3 linked regions of the Oryzias latipes genome follow. The protein of the gene in region 1 purifies or fractionates together with the protein of each later gene. This does not show direct contact. Links are inferred from orthologs where the notes say so. Each region holds a gene or a part of one and is shown on either strand. Other genes may lie near its edges.

Evidence for each region. The genes of interacting proteins can lie anywhere in the genome.
Region 2: the proteins of mtx2 (region 1) and immt purify together in Homo sapiens (co-immunoprecipitation; 5 studies listed by BioGRID and IntAct, counting the BioPlex papers as one, with this or other methods). This does not show direct contact. The link is inferred for Oryzias latipes from reciprocal best matches to the Homo sapiens genes MTX2 and IMMT.
Region 3: the proteins of mtx2 (region 1) and MICOS complex subunit mic25a-like purify together in Homo sapiens (co-immunoprecipitation; 3 studies listed by BioGRID and IntAct, counting the BioPlex papers as one, with this or other methods). This does not show direct contact. The link is inferred for Oryzias latipes from reciprocal best matches to the Homo sapiens genes MTX2 and CHCHD6.

What each region holds. Positions count from the first base shown.
Region 1 is NC_019873.2:5,189,632-5,194,504, reverse strand, and holds the start of mtx2 (metaxin-2), read left to right. Parts: upstream 1-1,742; 5' UTR 1,743-1,862; coding exon 1,863-1,902; intron 1,903-2,196; coding exon 2,197-2,244; intron 2,245-2,321; coding exon 2,322-2,368; intron 2,369-2,598; coding exon 2,599-2,671; intron 2,672-2,772; coding exon 2,773-2,849; intron 2,850-4,873. UniProt on the Homo sapiens protein: Involved in transport of proteins into the mitochondrion.
Region 2 is NC_019868.2:4,710,274-4,714,453, forward strand, and holds part of immt (MICOS complex subunit MIC60), read left to right. Parts: intron 1-1,004; coding exon 1,005-1,097; intron 1,098-1,283; coding exon 1,284-1,439; intron 1,440-1,586; coding exon 1,587-1,720; intron 1,721-2,362; coding exon 2,363-2,469; intron 2,470-2,717; coding exon 2,718-2,853; intron 2,854-4,180. UniProt on the Homo sapiens protein: Component of the MICOS complex, a large protein complex of the mitochondrial inner membrane that plays crucial roles in the maintenance of crista junctions, inner membrane architecture, and formation of contact sites to the outer membrane.
Region 3 is NC_019865.2:2,331,735-2,335,914, reverse strand, and holds part of MICOS complex subunit mic25a-like, read right to left. Parts: intron 2,656-4,180; coding exon 2,520-2,655; intron 2,092-2,519; coding exon of another isoform or gene 2,086-2,091; exon of another isoform or gene 1,871-2,085; intron 1-1,870. UniProt on the Homo sapiens protein: Component of the MICOS complex, a large protein complex of the mitochondrial inner membrane that plays crucial roles in the maintenance of crista junctions, inner membrane architecture, and formation of contact sites to the outer membrane.

The sequences.
Region 1 (4,873 bases):
TCCCTCAGGAAAAAGTAGTCTATTTCAGTTTACTACAAGTATACTTAGTCTATGCTAAAAGAGAGGAAGTATACTTGAAGTTTACTTTTTATGTACCATCTATATATTGTCAACTTAAAACATTCCAATTTAGTCTAAAGAAGTATTCCATATGCTTCCTACTCTACACACTAAAGTATCCTTGCTATTTTTCTTATGCTCAAGTATATTTAACAAAATGAATGTCAAGTGTATTTCTTTTTTGCTAAGGAGTAACTGCAATTCTTTTTAGAATTGGCTGTTGCATCTTTTTTATTTTTTTAAATATTTTTTTGACTATAGTGATGTTTTTTGTATTAACTATTGAGGTATTTTTGTGCATCTGGCAAAGACCTAGAAATGAAAACGAGCCTTTTGGACAGCTATGAAATATTTACCCAGCTACTCCATATGTTGTTTTTTTTTGTTTGTTTGTTTGTTTGTTTTTACATTTTACATGTCCTTAAGTAATAATATATTAAACAAAAATTGATAAATAAATGACTAAATGTTACATGTAAAAAGTTGAAAGGTTAGTATAAACATCAACATGTTAAGGTATACATGTCATGTTAAACATTTGCCTAACTCGGGGGTCTGCAATCTGATGCCATGGAGCTACATGTGGCTATTTTATCCCTCCAGTGTGACTCTTTGAATTCAGAGAAAAAACTTTCTTGCATTTTCAATTCATGTAAAACAGCTGCAGTGGGATTTTATTTGATACAGGGTGCATTTTATTTTGAAAGGAGCTTGTATCTGCTGCTGTCAGAAGTGGTGTGATTCAAATATTGTAAATGTTTAAAAGCTGTGTCATAAATGAATGGTTTAGTGGCCACATACCTCTTTTTAACTGGCTTATTGCTTTTGCGCGTTGCGAATGCGGAACCACATTTTTTTTAATTGAAAAACAATTAAGGTTTAGAGTATTGTGGCCGTTGTAAAAAGAATTCAACAAGTTACAATCACAACAAGTATAGAAAAATGTAAACAACATTAAAAAAGTTAAATAAAAAAAATACAATAATACAGAAAAATACAAACTTAAATAGAAAAGATTAAAACAAAATAAAATAAAGGGGTTACATGGGCATTATATTCATCATTAACTTAGGGGTTATCAAAAAGCTGCAAGTTACATATGATATTTTGAAGTTCCATAGCAAGTTTATTTTCCATGAAGTTTACGGAAGAAAAAAAAGAGCAGAATTATTTATGAAATGTAAAAAAATATGGTTTGATTTTGATTGCATATAGAATCTACTCAAAAATAATTATATCATTTAAAATAAAATCTGTTTTTGTTTTCTAAAATAAACCCAAAAATTATATCCTTAATAGAAAAGTCTGCTAAACATGGAATCTTGGGGGAAAGCCAATAATGTATATTATCCCAAAACATGTTAGAGTGAAAACATTCAAAGTCGTTTCAATGTCATCATTATAAAAAAAGAACAACAATTTTTAGGAAATCCAAACCGTTTTCCATGCAATTCCTTGGAAGGGTAAATACCTGAAAAGCTTTTAAATGGACTTCCTTGGAGGAATGGGAAGTTTTGAATATTTAGTTCGTAATTGTTTTTTTTTCTGAATTATTAAAATACTGGTTAAAATCATTTGGATTTGAGATGTAGGGAAAGGACGTTTCGTTAAAAGATTCTCTGATTTGATGGTTGGGGAGTATGCGGAACCACATATGTAGAGAGCACTTTTTCTGGGGGGATGACTATTGACGGCGGACTGCTCCATGACTGCACATCAACATTTGTCCTTAATGTGACATGAAACGCCTCTGAACCGGCCCGTTTCCGTGGAAGTTGAATTAAAGAGCTAATCTGCTCGTCATGTCTCTTGCTGCAGAGGCCTTCGTGTCGCAGATGGCGGGTAATGTTTACGTTCTGCCTTTTCTGATTCTATGCTGTTTATTTAGCTGCTTCTTTTTAGCCGGTTAGCGGCTAAAGTTAGTAGTTCACCTGACCAGAGGGATGAAAACACACCCGTGTTTGATTTTCACCTCGTTCAAATATCCCGAAGTGTGTCCAGGACGACACAGTACAGTGACAGAGATGTCAGCTGACTATTGAATGACTTCTTATAGTTCTCACAAAGATGTCAACATCAAAGAATAATAAATGATACGAGTTAATGAGCGCGTGCTCTTGTGTTTGTCGTTGACAGCTGCTGAACCCTGGCCTGAAAATGCCACCTTGTACCAGCCACTGAAGGGTGAGGGGTTGAAACGCCCTGAACTGTCTGTCTGCATGTTTGCCAGCTTTACATTTGTTCCTGTTTTTTCCTCACAGAGGATCAGATTTTGCTGTCAGACTCCGCCTCCTCTCTGGCAGTTCAGGTAAGTCATCTTTGAAACTTATTGCAATGAAATGAACCTTTTTTTTACTTTCCTGCTTGGAATCCAGAAAATGAAATAAATGTTTTGGTGTTTTTTTTCTTCAAATTTACAGTAAATGCATCATATATCTTCTACACTCAGATATTTTCACCACATCTCAGACATTTTATGAATGAATGAATGAAGGTTGCAGCTTTTTTTCCTCCAGCTGTTCTTTGTATCATCTGCAGACTTACCTCCGGATGTGTGGGCTTCCAGTGCAGGTGGTCTGCAGGCCAAACGCTGAATACATGTCCCCTTCTGGTCAGTACACGCTTGTTGTTGTCTGATCTTTGGAGAACGTAACTGATGTTAACGTACGGTGAGAGCTGAAGGGATAAACTCTGTGTTTGCTCTTCCTTTAGGTAAAATACCTTTTATTCATGTGGGGAACCAGGTTGTGTCAGAACTTGGGCCGATTGTGCAGTTTAGCAAAGCTAAGGTGAATCAATCAACACAACTTCTGCTGTTTCATACTTGATTCTTGATTCATTTTTTAATGATTTGGTTTGTTTCAAACACTTTTAGCAATAAAAACAAATGAAAAAGATACAAAACTAAATAAAATCCATAGATATATCAAGTCTGTTTAAGCTATTAACTAATTAATTTATTAGATAATAAATAAGAATGTGATGGAGGTGCAGTGGTTAGCGCTCTTGCATGTTCTCCCCGTGCATGCGTGGGTTTTCTCCGGGGACTCTGGCTTCCTCCCACCTGCTTCATAGGTTCATAGGTTACTCTAAATTGTCCCCAGGTGTGAATGTGAGTCTGGGTGTGTGAATGTGACCCTGCGACAGACTGGCGACCTGTCCAGGTGTCCCCCGCCTTCACCCACAAGTGGCCGGGATAGGCTCCAGCAGCCCTGTGACCCCGAAAGGGATTAAACGGGTTTAGAAGATGGAAGAAACGGAATGAATGGATCCATCTATTTACTGGCGCCACTGAATCCCTTTCAGGGTCACAGTGCTGCCGGAGCCCAGTTCAACTACGGTTGTGTGAAGGCGGGCAACACAACCACACACACACACATACACACACACTCACACACTCACACACACACCCATAGGGGCAATTTAGACTGATCAGTGAACCTGTGAAGCATGTTTTTAGGAGAGTGGGAGGAAAGCGAAGTCCCCAGGAAAAACCCACGCGTGCACGGGCAGAACATGCTAACTCCACACAGAACCCAGCAGGAATTGGTTTTTACATTTTACACAGAACTTTCAAACTTGGGCTGTGAGGTCAACTGCAGCTTAATGTCAGTGTTTCATTTTGAAGGGGATTTATACTTTGGCTCCAACATATTCCTTAGTTTCCACAGTAGGTGGAGCAGAAAATTATTAACATGCATTTTCATTTCATTTTTTCTTATTTCTTTACATTCTTAATGCTGCTTGATTCTTCTAGTTTTTTTTTTTTTAATGTTTTGTTCATTTATTTCGGTGTCATGACATTTTGTTTAAAGGAACAGTAGTCAGTTAATTACTTTACTAACCCACACTAATAATTATTATTAACCCACAGATAAGATTCAGATATTCACACACTCACTAAAGTAAATACGTCAGTTTTTATTTACATTTTTTATGACTTCAATAACAATTGTTTTTTATTTTTATTTTACATCTTAATGTCTTTCTGCAAGTTAAATTAAATAAATACGCATTCATACATTTTGTTATTTAATTAAAATTCTGCCATTATTTGGGTTGCATTTTTTTATGGTGTTGAATTTTTCTGTTATATTTTATCTTCAGGTGTCTTCTTTTTATCAACACTTTGTGTTTTTAAAAACCTATTTGATTTCTTTTTTTTACTCTTTTGGTTTATGAATCATTGAATTTGGCTTTTCCGTTTCTTTTATTCAACTTTTTTTTAAATGTTTTCACAGCTCACACATCATTTCAACTCGGTTTTTTAATGATACATTTAACAATTTCCTCAAATCTTTCCTATACTTTTAAGCGATCATAGCACTAAGCTTACAATTGACTATGTTTAGGGTAATTCACTTTGGTGCTTTTTAGTTTTTCTAGTCTCTTTTTTTTTCCAAAAATTGGTCATTTGGAATATGGAAAATGGCTGTAGTCAACACTTACTTCCAGAAGAGAGAGGAACATAGAGTGACATACAGAAGTGGAGGTAGGAGTACTCAGGTGGACTACATCCTATGCAGACGAGGTCATTTGAGAGAGGTTATTGACTGCAAAGTGGTGGTAGGAGAGAGTGTAGCCAGACAGCACCGCATGGTGGTGTGTAAGATGACTCTGGAGGTCAGGAAGAAGAAGAGAGGGAAAACAGAAAAGAAGACCAAGTGGTGGAAGCTACAGAATGAAGAAACTTGTGAGGAATTTAGGCAGAAGTTGAGACAGGTCCTGGGTGGTCAGGATGAGCTTCCAGATGACTGGGAAACTACAGCAGAGATTATCAGGGAAACAGGTAGGAAGGTGCTTGGTGTGTCAT
Region 2 (4,180 bases), on another chromosome or scaffold:
TATATATCACAATACTATATAAATCAGTGTTTTTCAACCAGTGTGCCGTGGGAAATTGCCCTCATTAACTGATCTAAAAACATTTCCCATCTCCAGGAAATCAGCTCTTTGTTCATCCAAACAGGCCCTGATAAAACACTGAGTAGTTAGGAATATGAAAGATCATAAAAGACTTTTCTTTGTGTTTATTTGATTCTATTAAAGACATTTTGATAAGAATGATGGTACTGCGATTTAGCCGCAGCGTCAGCTGATTTCTGAAAAAGTCCCGCCCCTTTAACTGTCTCCACCAATCATTCTTGGAGGCTTAATCAAATGTCATCAGTCTGACCAATCAGAAGTGGTTAAACTCTTCACTTCCTTGTTCTGATTCTGCTCCTAAAGTCTCTCAGTTCTAACAAAAATTCCAGCTAAAGCTCGTCTTTAGCGGTGTAGCTTTCCACAGAATCTGGTATCAGACCGTGGAACAGGTGAACAAAACAATGAAGCTCAGAGAAGTGAGTCTGTCTGACATCACTACATCACCCATAATGCATTGGGTTAGAGTGACAGCATCTCAGCGTACAATGAGTCTCTCCTCTTAACGTCTTGAAACCACAACGAACACACATCAAACAGTTTTTAAATCTTCTAACTTAACTTTTATTACATCTTTTAGAAAAAACAGCTGCAGCTTCCAGCTTTTCTGCCACAATCATCACAAAAATGCACGTGTGATTGTGGAGGTGCTGTAGATCAATACAGACTATGAGTTTCTCTTTTTTTGTCATTTTTGGATGCTGGTGTGCTGCAGGATTTTGTCATGGTTAAAGTGTGCCGTGGCTCAAAAAAGGTTGAAAAACAAGGATTTAGAGGACAGAGAAGATCCTAGCCTGTCCTTTCACACACACCATGTTCCACTGAAGGACAGATCCTGAGCTCAGGATGAGTTTGTGTCAGACCTTTAGGTCCTTCTCCACGACCGGTCCACTCCACCTTCATCTTCTCCTTGTCTGTTCCTCCAGGAGCTTCAGCCGAGGCCACCCAGATCATCTCTGCCAGCAGCGACGTCCCTTCAGTCCCGGCGCCGTTTGACACCCAACCCACAGCGGTCACAGGTAAATCACCCAGCAGGAACATGTGTAGAGTAATCAGATTACTGCAGGGCTAGGGGAGTTGTTACTCGTTGATGGTTACCATTAGCAGGGTCACTGTTAGCAGTAAATAGTTGTGGAGGGGGGGCTGACTGCTGCTGTTATCAGTGGTCCACGTGCACGCTCTTCAGCGTGCGCTCTCTTTTTCAGAGCACTGCGACGAGTGTCACCACGTTGGCTCAGAGGCGGCCCACAGCGGCGCCGATTCGCCCGCCGGGTCCACAGAACAGCTGGTGGAGCGTCCGGCCGAGGAGGTGTCGGCCCGTCTGGCCCAACAGGACCAGGATGAGCAGAACGTTTTAGCAGGTTTGACGCGAGAACCTGATTTCTCTGAGGCAGAACCTCAACTGTCTCCTCAGTGTGGGAGGGGTCTTCAGCAGACGCCCGACTTGTGACAGTTTCCAACAGAACCGTGAGGCTCATGCCGGTTGTCTGATGTTTGCCGTTCTCCAGCGGTGTCCAGCAGTCTGGAGGAATCTCTGGCCTGTTCAGCCAGAGCAGCGCTGCAGGCCATCGGAGCCCAGGAGGCGGCGCTGCAGGCCATCAACCAGCACACGCAGAAGCTGAAGGAGGCCATGGAAGCAGAGGTACTGCCATGGCCTCAGCGGCCTGGGGCCTGTGGTCAGTGTCATGGAAGACCACCCAAAAAAAAAAAAGGAGTCCATCGTTACTTGGATAATGGATTCCTGATTCATTTGGGAGATTTCTTGTTTTTTTTTTTGTGAGTTTTTAAATAAGGAAATGAATCATTTTGTTAATGGAAGCTCAGGTTTGTTTATAATAATAAATTAAAAGGATTCTAGAGAGTAATTTAAAATGAAAGCAACTAAATATTTTAGCAGAGACTATTATTTTGCTTTTTAACAGCAAAATTACACACAAAAATGCTCCATAAACATTTCCAATCAAGCTTCCAGCAGCAACATAAAAAAAGAGTAGACAAAAGCTTCTTAGTATAAACTCTGGATTTTAAATTTGTCACGGCTTTTCCAAAGATGACAGAAAATGTCTGTCATCTTTTTTTTATGGAGGGCTGAGAGGAAATTAGCATTTCAAAAATAAAACCTGTCATGATGAGGTTTGATTTTATTCAGATTGAATTACGGTATAGAGGTTTGAAAACGAATGTGGATTATTGATTAACAGAAGGTGCAACAGCAGTGGAACATTCTGGAATGTGATTGGCTCGTTAGAGGGAGGAGTTCAGTGACCTGACACTCTGTTCCCAGCAGAGTCCTCCCGAGGAGAAGTCCGTCCAGTGGAAGGATCTAGAAGCTGCTCTGATGGACCGGACCTCTGCTGTGACGGACGCGACAGCTGCCCTTCAGAAAGCCAAGCAAGTTACCCCCACCCCGAAAACATGTCACCCTGTTGACCTCAGGTCACCTCTGCTGTCTGCTGGTTCCTGAGCTCTTTAGCAGCACTCCTCTGCCGTTCTGGGCCTCAGAACAGCAGAACATCTCCAGCTGTCGGACTGTTTTTACATTCCCCTCGTTTCCTAGCGTGCACTCAGGCGTGTGCACGTGTCCTTCCGCCGCTCACAGAGCGCCGCCGTCCCCTGAAGCTGTGTTTTCGTCCCTGCAGGGAAGCTCTGGATGGTCTGAGGGCCACCATCAACGGCTCCAAAGACCTGAAGGTGGCCGCCGTCCGCCCGCTGGTCCTGGCAGCTGAAGAGAACCTGCATAAGATGGTGGTGGACCTGGACAGAGTCGTGGCTCAGGTTAGCAGCTGCTCTGCTCTCTCTGCCTCTAACCCGGTCTCAGGCTAGAGGACACATTATTACTCAAGGAGGCAGGTAATCAGTATTTGGAGGCGATATTTATTTGCAGTAAAGGTGACAATATTTTACAATTTAGAAGAATACAAACACAAACAATTAGTTTATTTCAAAAAACAAGTACCGGTAAATAAACAACCAAAGACATAGCTCCTCCTAGAAGTGCAGGGAGCAACAGGCTCAGCAGCAATTTTTTAGTTTTGTTTTAAGTGAAATAAAGATTTCCCTGAAAGTTTTTAATAGTAATAAAGTCAAACTTCAGCATAAATTGGAGGATTTATAATTTATGTTAAGTTGAAACAAAAAGTGCACAGTGGCAAATAGGGATGGGTATCGTTAAGGTTGTAACGGTACTACTACTCTTATCGATACTGCTTATCGATCCGGTATTTTAACTACATTCTTATCGATACTTTATGAGGAAGAAAAATAAATAAATATACAAATAACAAATTAAGAACAAAGTGTTTTATTTCCTCATTTTGCAACGACATTGTTTTTTTAACAAAACATTTTACTTTATACATGAGAAAGTTCCAGACAGGATATGTATTTAAGTATTTTTATTCTTTATGAGCGTGATGTTTCCTTTGATCTTTTGTCCATTTTCGACAACCTTGAATGGACTTCTGTCTGTCAAACACCCAGAGTTAAATTAAGTTAAGTGAGATGATGGAAACAAATTCACTTTGATACGGACTCCTTTCTGTTTCTTTATTTTTTTTTAAATCCAGTAAACCCAATAAATTATATAAATTGTATGGAGGAAGAATATCATTAGTTGTTACTTATTATTAAGTTTTAGGAAGCAGCTGTTAGTTTGTTGCGGGTCTGGAACCATAAGCGGTGAGTCTAAGCCCCGCCTTAGACTGATCCGCAGTTAAATCATCAGTAGACCCAATTCACAGCGAATAGAATAGAAGACTTTGTTAATCCCACGATGGGGAAATTCCTTTTGTCAGCGGCAGCACAGAAAAAATCAAACAAAAATAGTTGGACTAGTTAAGCAATCAAACGCCGTCTCTTGGGCCGTGAATGGCAGAGAGCTGCTGAAGGCGGCCTGTTGGGGGCGGGGGCTTTATGTCTGGTGTTTCGCTGAGGAGAGGAGGGAGACGTTTGAACGCCGGCATCAGATTGTCTCAATGCAATGATCTGTGTTTTTTGTATTTCTCCCCGTCAAATAAATATGAACAATAACATTTATGGTAGCGAGTTAAAAGCGACTTTGCTAGTTACCAGTAGAGGGACATGCAGAGGACCGAGATGCCCA
Region 3 (4,180 bases), on another chromosome or scaffold:
CTTATTTGTATCTACTGAAAAAAGGCCTTTCTATGTGAGTAAAGGCAGCTATCAGCAACATGTTATAACTTATGTGCATTGCAGTCTTTTAAAGACACTTTTCATAAAGTTTTCTTCGCTCCTCATTAAATCACAGAGGATAACATGAGAAGGAAACGTACACAGACACACACACACCATTCCAGCGCTGTATGTTTTCATATTTATACCGCATAAGAAGATAAACACCGCCTGTGGTACAGATGATCCTGAAAGAAGACACGATTAGTGCAACAGCAGAGGAATCCTTGTTCAGCAAGCTGATTATCGCACTCTGTATTGTTGTACTCCAAGGATAAGCCTCAGTGCCCCTCAGCAACGCAAAGATGTGAGCTGAGACCCGGGTGAGGCGCAGCGATGCGTTGTTTGGCTGCCTGATCAGCAACTGTACCTTCAAACGCCTTCCCAGCCCGAGCTGTGGAGCCACGGGCTCCCAGCATTCTGTCCTCCGGCTCGCCTTCCTCCTCCTGCTGCACTTTTCTCTCTAACTTTCTGTGAATTTGTAACCAGCGCAGTGATGAACAAAGTGGAGAAACCGGCTTTTTTGGTTGAATAATACAACAGTGAGGCACACTGAGAGTTCTGGGATACTGGGAGGGAAAGGCTGCTTTTTACAGAGTGCATGCATAACTCCTGAATCCTCAGTTGTTCCTCTGTAAAAAACTTTAAGGTTGTGTTTTTTTAACCTCAAGCTGACTGCTTGAACCAAAAATCTTTCTTCTTTTGACTATTGAGGATATAAATCACATATAATGAAAAAATAGAGCATTTTGGTGCTCTATCCAGTATCCAAAAAAAGTATTTTAGTTGATCAAATATTTAGAAATCAAACCAAAGTTCTAAGGCTTCAGATTTATTTTTAATTATGTTTCAACAATTTAGGATTAGTTGACAGTATTGAATTCTGTTATGTTTTAATACTGGTTATGTGCCATTAGATTTAAGTTCATGCTGATTGATAAAAGTTTTGTTCAGTCTGATCGCTTTGATGTTTTCATTCTCCAACACTGGACTGATTTTTCTATGAGGGTTTGAACTTTGAGAGTTTAATCAAGAGAGAAAAAAGTGTAAAAATGTTTGTCTGTCCGAGAAAAATGTATAAAGTGTCTAGTTTTACTGCCTTAAATATCTAAAATAATTGTAAAGAAAATAAAGATGACTTTTTTGCCGATTTTGCTCATCTCGGGTTACTTTTGAAAACAAATATCTGATCGCAAACAAAGATTTTTACAAACTGAACACAAGAGTGATTGACAAGATCCACAGCCAATCAGGAAGCTGCTGTGACGTCATCCTAAGTGATACCTTGTAGTTCCTTGACAGAATTCTCAATCCTCACCACGACGATGAGACACAGCAGCTCATTCCAATGCGGTCAGATGAATGCAGTTAAAAAATGCAATTAAAAAGATATAACGTGATGCACGTTGCTTCCTCCTCTTTTCCCCACAATCCATGTCATAAAAGGTAGAGACCAACGCAGCAGTTAAACTGTTGAGCCTGATGTTTAAAACTGATCAGCAAAACGTAAAGTTTGAATGAACCAACAAACTAACAAAGTGCAGGACTTCCAGAATTTCTTTCTCTAGTTGCTTTGCCTCATAATCCCTGACCAATGAGTGAAGAGATTTTATTGCTGTAGTTTTGTAGGCTGACAAGCCTGACAGCAGTCTGACTACAGTCCAAATGCCTTAAGGTTCAGGACTCGATCCGGACCAGCGGACTAGAACAAACGGTTTTCTCCCGCTTAGAGACTTGTTTTGGATTGAAATCTTTTTTAAGTTCAGGAGAAGCTCTGCAACTCACACAAGAACTTTAGGAAATACCAAGAAACTTTTCCACACATTTATGCAAAACACGACCTTTGCTTTTTCCACCAACCGCCACTGAAAGTACTAAAAAGTGAATTCTTTTTTTTTATGTCGATGCTCTTTGTGTTTTTTCCTGCATCTACGCCACATCTTCTTTTGCTACCTTCTCCTCAATTCCTACAGCTGGCAATACTGATGAACTTTGAAGAGGCTTTGCCACCTTTGTGTCTTTCTCCTAAAGCTTCAGAATTAAACAAACAGAGATGTAGGTTTGGTGAGCATCTGGCTGCATGAAGGAAATCAATTCCAAAAAACTAGAATAACTGGGAAACGTGTTATTTCCATAATTCCATTCAAAAAAATATTCTTTTATTGAAAATAGATCAATAGATCAAACCTCTGTCTTTGCTTTTATGCATAAATGCTGATATCTTCAGTTTCATGAGCTGGAACCCAAATTTACGTAAAAAAATAAATAAAATACAAACTTTAACTTTTTGAAAGGAATTGTGGAAATGAAAACACTTTTCCTTATTATTCTAATCTTTTGTCTTTTTTCTTACAAAGAAAATGACACTAATTTTAACCAATAGTGGAACCATGATTGATACTCTATTTTTTGTTTTTTTATTTTATAAAAAAAGAAACACAGACGGAGAAACCTCTCACCTTTCTTGCAGCGTTTATACATTGCAGGTATTCCTTGGCCAGGTCTGAGCACTTTAGGGTCTGGTCTCTGTTGTCTCTGTAACAAGATAAAATCTGAGCCTGCAGGCCAGAACACACTGGAGCTGTACTGCAAGACCTGCAGGAAACACAGAGAAAAACAAAAATAAAGGTCTACTGAGAACAAATAAAATATTTATCCTCCAACTTCCTTGTTGAAGGTGTCAGATTAAAAACTCAAACACTCATTGAAGGAAAATAAAAGGTAATATTTGTACAGAATTGATCCATTTTAATTCAATGACCAACACTAAACCTATGAGTAAAATACATTAAATGGTCACAGATCCCATAGAAACAATTGAAACCAACATGAAGGTTTAAAGAAAGTCTCTTCAGATTCAAACTCTGCAGATCATTGAGGTCTTTGAGGCTTTAGACCAGATATCCCTGGATTGACCTTTACATCTGGGTTTGAATGTAGCAAATGGCTTTAAACAAAAAAAACGAAAAGAAAGAAACACGTCCTTTGTCTTCTAGTTATTATGTACGGCACTAAACTCTGGAACAAGTTTAAATCTAAGAAAAATTCAGAAAAATTCAGAAATAGGAACGATTTTTTCACAATATGGGGTTGAGGGAACTTAATAACATCCAACACTTTCTGATCAATAAGCAATTTATTTTTGTTTTATTAGGTTTAATAGATTAATATTGATTTCGGGAATTTGGTAAAAGAAATTCTGAAGATAATAAGAATTTCGGACTTGGACTGAAAACGTTTTAAAGACCCGCTTCAATGAAAATCTCATTTTTAAAATCCTCTGGGGACATTTTTACCATAATAGATGTTAAGAAGTATAAAGTATAAAATTCTGTTTTTGACTATTTCTTTATTCAAATTGTTGTGAATTGTGAATGCTTTGAAAATACATCAAAATATGATCACAGACCGACTTTAAGAACTTTAAACAGATGTTAAGAACAAAAAAATGTTTTATAAAACATTGTGAGGCGGCATACTTTGAATTAGCTTTTTCTCACTTACTTTTACCCAATCAATCAGTCTTTGGATTCAATAGATTCAATGTATCGTGTGTAAATAGGTCTACTGATGATTATAATCCATATTTAAAACGGCATGATTTGTCTTTTATTTTTTAATCAACTTATGAATTGATATCTTAAATTGGTTTATATTGACATCGGTTTTTTGTATTGTCCTTTTTCCCCCCTTTTTCTTTCTTTATCGCTTGAAATCGGTTAACCAACCAACCAACCAACCAACCAATCAATTCTATTCTTTTAAAGACTAAACTTGTGGAGATCGCTGCTAAAAAATAAATAAATAAAATCGGTATAACTATACCGATGAGTTTCTTTGTTTCATCTTCCACAAAAAAGCAAAACTTTTCCAAACATGCTGTTTTTTTTAAAAGAAACTAATCTTAATAGAATAATTAGGCGTATGACGGTAACATTCTCGTCTGCACAGATGGGAACCTGTTCAACAACAAATGCGCTGCCTGGTACGTGTTTCATTGCAAATTGTACAATTAGAGCCCAATCACACTTAATTGAGTGGGTTGGATCATTCTGATGAAATACAGCGAGAAGGTGAGCTTTGAGAGATTAAATTAGCCATTCTTGATGTGAAATGTGGG